Linked DNA regions of Nothobranchius furzeri. The main gene of each other region encodes a partner of the protein of the gene in region 2 in a complex. Links are inferred from orthologs where the notes say so. Each region holds a gene or a part of one and is shown on either strand. Other genes may lie near its edges.

What was found.
Region 1: the proteins of prpf40a (region 2) and sf1 are in contact, whole or in part, in an NMR structure (PDB 8PXX), measured with the Homo sapiens proteins. The link is inferred for Nothobranchius furzeri from reciprocal best matches to the Homo sapiens genes PRPF40A and SF1. Residues at the interface, in NP_001352526.1 of Homo sapiens: His164, Ser166, Tyr172, Tyr174, Ser181, Thr182, Trp183, Tyr213, Tyr215, Ser222, Arg223, Trp224; in NP_004621.2 of Homo sapiens: Pro575, Pro576, Leu577, Pro578, Pro579, Gly580, Ala581, Pro582, Pro586, Pro587, Pro588, Pro589, Pro590.

The regions. Positions count from the first base shown.
Region 1 is NC_091743.1:88,302,371-88,306,194, reverse strand, and holds part of sf1 (splicing factor 1), read left to right. Parts: intron 1-2,770; coding exon 2,771-2,902; intron 2,903-3,824. UniProt on the Homo sapiens protein: Necessary for the ATP-dependent first step of spliceosome assembly. Binds to the intron branch point sequence (BPS) 5'-UACUAAC-3' of the pre-mRNA. May act as transcription repressor.
Region 2 is NC_091754.1:18,349,597-18,353,420, forward strand, and holds part of prpf40a (pre-mRNA-processing factor 40 homolog A), read right to left. Parts: intron 3,800-3,824; coding exon 3,781-3,799; intron 3,686-3,780; coding exon 3,666-3,685; intron 3,575-3,665; coding exon 3,533-3,574; intron 3,427-3,532; coding exon 3,316-3,426; intron 3,149-3,315; coding exon 3,028-3,148; intron 2,853-3,027; coding exon 2,828-2,852; intron 2,746-2,827; coding exon 2,521-2,745; intron 1-2,520.

The DNA.
Region 1 (3,824 bases), on a different chromosome or scaffold from region 2:
ATATAAATTTAATCAGCTCAAGTTGGGCCTCTGCTTGAGGTGTTTACAATTTTCTAACATGACAGGACTGCTTCCGCTCCCATTGTTTTGGTTGGCGTGTGCTTTCCTGCGTTCTTTACCAGTTGTGACAAAAGCCATTTTCCCAATTAATAGAAATAGTTTGGACATTGTTTTCCTTTCAACTTTGTACTTAGGCATTTGACACCAGTCAGCGGTAGGGCTGGGGGAAAACGATTATTTTTAAAACGATTATTCTAACGTAGGGCTGGGCGATATGGACCAAAACTTATATCTCGATATCTTTAAGCTGAATTCCGATATACGATATATATCTCGATATTTTTCCTCCTGTAAACTGTTGACAAGTTAACTCACTTCAAGCTCTTGAGAAATTATATACATAAATCAGTAGGTTAAATGCATAAAAATGTATTGATTCTGGTCAAACTTTAACCGTAGTGCCTATTCTCTACCAGTCTGAGCTTTAGTAACACAGGTACAGATGTCTGCTAACACACACACACACACACACACACACACACACACACACAGTTGAGAGCCAGAGGTGTATCAAATGTCCCACAGGCACTTTTTAATTATATATTTATAATTAATGTGAAATTATTTAAATTTCATCTAGAGGTGGCCCATATTGTATAGATCTTGTCCAGAGAAAAAAAATCCATCATGTTAAGCTAAATGTACGATGATGTAATTGCATCTACTGAAGATCACATGGGTCATGCACCATGGAGTTATTAGTTATTAGAAAAACTAGTTATTAACTAGTCGTTAGTTATTAGTTAGCAGTGTTGGCTCATATCAGCGATTATACTGTAATGATTCAGAGTCTCTGGTTGCTTTTATGAGTGTTATTTTCGGGCTACTGTCGCCATAACCCACACCTTACAAACTCAACTTTTTCATCAGAGTCACTCGTAACGGAGTATTTACTAGCATAGCAAACCAGAACGGAAAAAAACGGAACCGGAACAACATTTCTCACCCGTTGAGTTCGCCTTCAAAATAAAACGGTAACCCTATAGTTTACTATTCAAACCCTTAAATATGTTTCAGGTCATTTGGCCACTCCGGCTTTCCGTAGCCGTTTCCTCATTACACAGGGGAGGGAGGGGTTTGGCTCGTCTCTCTGCACAAGCAGGATGGAAAACCGTTGGCATTGAACGTCCCCAAATAATTAAAAACCAGGAGGCCAAATGCAAAGTTTAGAGCAGCACATTTACCCAGAGGCTCTCAGACTGAGCAAACTTGTGAGAATATACGTAATGGCTGCTTAGAGACGGAGCAACATGTCGCTAGCATAGCGGCTAATCGCTAGCATAGCAGTTTGGCCAGTTATATCGATATAAAGATATAGTCATCTTATATCTTGTTTAAAAATTATACCGATATTTAAAGAATATCGATATATCGCCCAGCCCTATTCTGACGATTATTTTATCAAATAGTCGACTATTCTAATGAGTATTTAGAAAATTAGTCTAATGATTATTTTTCTATTGCACAATTAACAAAAACCAGAAAATCTCAAATAAATTCCTCAAAAACATTGATCAATTGTTACTGTAAGAGAATAAACACTACAGGCCTTCCATTTTGTACAACACTGCTTTTATTGTGTTGGTTGGTTATGTTCTGGTGACGTGTAGATCTTGGGAGTGCAGGCTGCTGCCTGAGAGGTGGTTGGAGACGGAGTGTCTCCATGCTGCTTTGTTTTGGTCACTTATGTGCGTGAGGCGAGTGGTGTTACGACCCTTCCTGGGGAGTTTGGCTCGTGTGCAAAAAGGAAGGGACAATAACGGGATTTAAAAGTTAAAATGATGATCAGGTTTGTTTACAACTACAAAAAAACATAAATCTTTCCATCCGCAGGTTGGGAATAATAAAACTAATTCTGCCTGTGTGGAATTAAAACAAAAGTACAAATAAGTGGGGATGTCCCACTGGGCAAAGATTACAGGGTTCTGGACCAAAATAAGGATCTCCAAAGGTCCAACTCTAAACTGGGCGGTGAAACCAAACTCAAGGTGATATTTTAAACTAAACCGAAAACCCACAACACTCTAAATGTAATAAAAGGGAGATCTGCACCACAAAAAAGATGAACTCTAAACCAAAACGTAACAGCTTATCCAAACGCAAGAAGCTGTTAGCGAAGATGCTAACAGTAGCTTTACCAACGTTAAGTTCAAGTCACCAAGTTTAAATAAACCAAAAACACCCAGCAGCAAACAGACCAGCACGGAGGAGAGACTGCTACCACCAGCACAGCTCTCCTAATGTCTGAAAGAAGCTCCTTTATGAAGGGAGAAACGCTCCCGGTGATTTTCTACATCTGCGGTAGAGACGAAGCAGCGCATCTGACCCCGGAAGTTGTTGTCCGTTGCCGGGAGACGAAGGCGGGCAAAACAGGAAAATAATCTAGTTGTGGACGGACATTGTTCCAGGTCTTCGGTATTTGGCGGAGATGTTAGTGAAGGCGGAGAAGAGGGCGAACTAGAGGAGGAAAAACAGGCAGATTCCACAAACTCCTGGGGATGCAACAAGTGGGCGCGGTGCATCGACTTCCGGATCTGACGTCGACAAATTTTTAGAATCGAGCCGTCGACGTCGTCGAGGCTTCGCTACTGCCCTAGCCAGAGGCTACATCAGATAGCATCTTCTTTTCTCTGACATTTGATGTAGAATTTGAATAACGCTTCTCATAAAGGGGTAAAGTAAAATTCATGGGTTAATTTTTCTTGTTTAGATTTCGGCCAGAAGAAAACTAGGAAGAGGAGTCGATGGAGCAGTGAGACCCCTGATCAGAAGACTGTTATACCGGGGATGCCCACTGTTATTCCCCCTGGACTCACGCGAGATCAGGAGAGGGCGTATATAGGTAAATGATGTTCGTCTTTACCAAAGTTTACCATGTCAGTTACTGGATGTTACTGTTTTGTTGAAGGTTCTAGTTTTCTCTTATGGTACCAGCATCTAGGCTATTTCCTTTTTCCTGAATTCCCAACAGTTTGAGCTTTCTAAGGCAATGCTAATTCAAAGTCAGATAAAGTTCTTTTCACTGTTCTTCTTGCTAAAAGGTGGAAATGTCTTATTTTGCTCCAACTGTTGAGACAAAATAATCATTCTTACTAAGCAATATAATAATAATAATGCTGTTGTGAGGTTTCTGTTCATTTCCCTTTGAGTGTTTCTGCTGTTTTGTAGTCCCCCAGTTTGCATACCATTGGGCAGCCATTAACAAGAGTTGGTGATAGTTGATCAAACGTCTGTTTGCTGAAAACCGCCACGCTGCCGCTCGTTCAACACATCCTCATTACTCTGCGTGGTAGAGGATAATTGGCCTGAATGTGGGCAATGCTGCTTCAGTTGGGTTTACACAGATTCTTCCTGTTGCAGAAGAGAACCAATGCTAAAATAATTAGACTAGTAGAATATAGACCAATATCAAACTTTATTCATAAAAGACTAAGATTTGTATCTTTTAGGCAGGACCGACAGCATTACAGCTGCTGACCCAAAAAAAACCCACAGATTTTTGGGTTAGGGCCGTTTGAGGTGGACCTAGATATGAAATTGAACCAATGGAAAATAATTCAGTTTCACATTGAAACCTGTAGGTAACAGAAACTGTTTAGATTAGTCTGTTTTTGGGGGCCGAAGAACAAACAAAATCTCAACTCACCAATAAGCCACTAATCCGAGGTTGCACAGAGTTTATCGTTGCCTCTTCCCAGAAAGAAGAGGGATCTAGTCTTCTAGAAGCAGTATTGCTCAAACATCCTCTTTTAAAGGAAATAATT
Region 2 (3,824 bases):
AGGCCACTGCATTAAACTTGTGCAACTAGTCAGCCGTTATTTAGATACTTTTAACTTTCTTGCATCCAAAGTAAAATTTCATGTTTTACTCAGATTGGATTATCAGTAAGTGCTGCTAATTTCCATCTCATGTGTTGTTTCTGTTTATGTGACAGCAGAAAGGAAGCTAAACTAGCTTGGTGTATCCAATCCTAGTCCTCACCACCATGCCATGCATGCCGTCTATGTTTACCTGCAACAACACACCTGGTATGAATCAGTGGGTGATTAACAGGCTAATGAAGGCCATCAATCTTTAAATCAGGTGTGTTAAGGCAGAGGAGCAGCTAAAACATGTGCAGGGCAGTGGCCCCTGATGATCAGGACTGAGGCCCTGTCCACACGTAGCCGGGGATCTGCCAAAACGTAGATATTTTTCTACGTTTTGGCCTGTCATCCACACGAAAATGGATCTTTTTAAAAACTTCGGTCAAAGTGAAGATCTGCGTTTTCTCCGTTTTGGGTGTCTGCGTGTGGACAGACAAAACCGGAGTTTTAAGGTCCGCAACGTCACTTTCCACGACAAAAAATTGCTGACATCACGTGTGCGACCTGTGTTTACACTAGCCGACAGCACGGATGCCCTCAGAGCTGCGCTCGCTTTATCAATTGTCCAAGCGCTTTTTGCTTGTTTGTTGTTGCAAGCGGAATTACTGCTCCTTGCGGAAGACCACAGACGAAGGACGAGGTTAAGAACGGGGGAAGTACTGCCACCTACAGGTCTGGCATGTCCTTAACAACGTATTTATCCGGGTACGTGTGGACATTTTTTTTTTTAAACGAGGTGATGTGGATGCAATTTTTTGGAGGGGCGGATATTCGTTTTTTTTAAAACCCGGCTACGTGTGGACTAGGCCTAAGACCAGTAACGTCACCGCGCCGCGACGAATACTTTCCAAATTCAGAGTGCTCAGAATGTGGCCTTAAAATCCATTCTCCTTTTCCCTGATTTTGAGAACAGGTGCGGTGTAGTCTCATCATAAAATGCACAGCAGGACAGGTGTTGTAAGAAATTCTGTTCCCCTGAAATCTGTTCCCTCGTGTTGGGAAGTCTCACTTCAAGCCCTCTTCCCACCACTTATGATCGACTTGTACAGAAAAAGTATGTAATGTAATGATGTCATGCTTGTGATATTTTTTATTTATATTTCCTCCTAAAAACAATATAAAAGTACAGTAAAAACATTGTTGTTCACCCTTTTCCAGCAAGTTTATCATTTTTGAAAGTTATGTAAAAGGATGTAATCTAACTCAGTTTAACCATCTTCTATTTGAGGTTGTTTAGGCCTCATAATGAACATTAAGTCCTGTGAATTTGGAAATATTAGTTCTTTATTTGCCCAAGTTATTAGGGGAAACATATTATTTTCTCAGAACACTGGCGGTACCTCTGCTGTAACTCTTCAAACAGTAACAAAACAAGGAAAAAGTTTAACATTTGCAATCTCCACTTATGCAGCTTCTACTTAGTGCGGTAGCAGTTGCTAGGTGACAGGAGGACATCCGTCCTAGTAGGGGCGGGACTATTATTTGAGGCTAGACTATCCAAATTCACAGCTGTTAACATCCGGTCTAACTGGACCTGGAAGAACACGTTCTGCTGAGACCAATGAGGACAGGTACTCATTGGATGCAACCCCTGAATTTGGACACAGCCGTGGTCTGATTTTGTTAGCTTGCAAGAGCTGATTAAACCCCGTCTGCATCTTAACCTGCTTCACACAGGGTTAATTGTGTTAATGCAAATTTCACCTTTTTTTAATCACAGATTTCTGTGGACAAAAATGAAATGCACAAAGAAAAAAAAAACTCAAAAACGAAAATGAAATGGATCTGACATTTTCAAAAACAAAGAAAGATGAAAAGTGACAGAGACGGAAATCCAATCAGAAGACGAGAAAGATGTGAGGAACGGACACGAGGGCTACTCAGCAAATGGAAGAGGCGGGACCTGAGAAGAGAACCAATCAGTGTCCGGAGCCACCCACTGTTTGAACAAGCCCCCATTAAAGGTAACAGTTGAACAATTTATGTTCATGGCTGGGAGAGAACGTGAAAGAATGTCAAATATAATAATAGTTTTAAAAAGAGTTTAGTCAAAAAAAACTAAATTCAAATTTCTTGTCAAATAGAACACTGGCAAGTGAAAAAAGACAACACAAGCCTGTGACAAATTTGAGACGATCAAAGCATCAAAAATGCAAAAACATTATCTTTAAGATAAAAATAGAAGAACAGCAGGACCATAACCAGAGCAGCGAGAGAGGCCATCACTCATCTCCCACAGTTCAAAGTTCAGTCATTATACTAGAATAAAGCTGCCGACCTCCGTGTGCTCCGTTCGTTAACCTTTGCAACGTTCTGATAATTCACCTCCATTTCCATGCATCTGTAAAAGCTACAGTTCAGAAAACTCCTGCAACATTTCCTCTACGTTTTTCTGAAAAAGTAAACTTTCAAATCTGACCCATAGCTGTTTACCTGGCTGTGCTTTCTGTGACGACGGCGCTCTCCGAGGACGTCACAGGTGCATCAACAGCCTTGACCTCAGCTGTTTGATTCACTGTCACCTGGGACGGCGGCTCCTCCGAGACGGCTGCTGTTGCTGCTGCAGTTTCCACCTCCATCACTGTCGCCATAGAGGCTGTAGTCTCAGCTTGAACTGCAGGAGCTGCTGTCGTTCCAGGAACCACCGTCTCTGTTGTTCTGCAATCAAACCCAAATGATCAAAACCAGTGTCAGAATAATCATGCTGTTAGAAATAAGGTAAATAAATAAGAGTTCCTACCCATTCTCCTCTGCTTTGATCATAGCTGGAATAGACACACAAAAAGAGTTAAACAAGGCTTTCGGCTTTCATCTTAAAGCTCGTTATAAAGAAATGCACTCAAGAAGCTTCCAGAACTCATCTACGCATCAAATCATTTGCTGAACATGGCAGCAATAGGAGTGCATGGCTCACGTTAGAAGGCTGGTCCTTTTCTTTACCTTCCAGATCCTCCAGCTCTTTGGGCTTGGTCCACCTGGACTCTTTTGTCTGAGAGTTGTAATAATAAGGCTTCCCAGTGTCGGACTTGTACTCCTTCCAAGGACACTTGGACAGTAATTGCTACAAAAGCAAAAAATATATATATAAGGAAATCGCACTTCAACTGCAAGTTAGAATACACCATCTACTGAATCTGGTACATTTATAATACATGTAATTGTCTTTATTCCTAATTATAAGTACACAGATAAAGAGGCAAATCCAGGTGTTGTGCAGGGCAATCGTACCTCTGCAGGAGACTTGAGTTCATCCGGCTTCTCCCATGTGGACTGCTTGGTCTCCGTATTGTAATAATAGGTCTTCCTATCTAGTGATTTGTGTTCTGTCCACACCGACTTCTAAAGCAAACAAAAACAACAAACACTCTAAATCAGTTTTTTTACATCTTAAAACAACTTGATTTCAAATAAAATACAAGTTGTTTTATTTTGAAAATGTGCAAACCTTTTTTGGCTGTTCCTCCTGTGGCGAGCCGTTGGCGGTACTCTGCAGAGACGAGTCAGACAGACAGACGTTAAAATATAAAAACCTGTCAACGTGTGATGAATGGATATGAAGGAAGCAGCAATAAACGTACGGTTGTTCCAGGCGCTGCAGCTGCAAGAATCAAGACAAAATAAATAAAATTCAGATTAACTTTCAATAAATACAAATGAAAAAAATTGATTTGTTAAAATTATTGTGGTTTTTACCTGTGGAGTCAACACCTGGCTGTGGAGAAAAAAAAAACATTTAT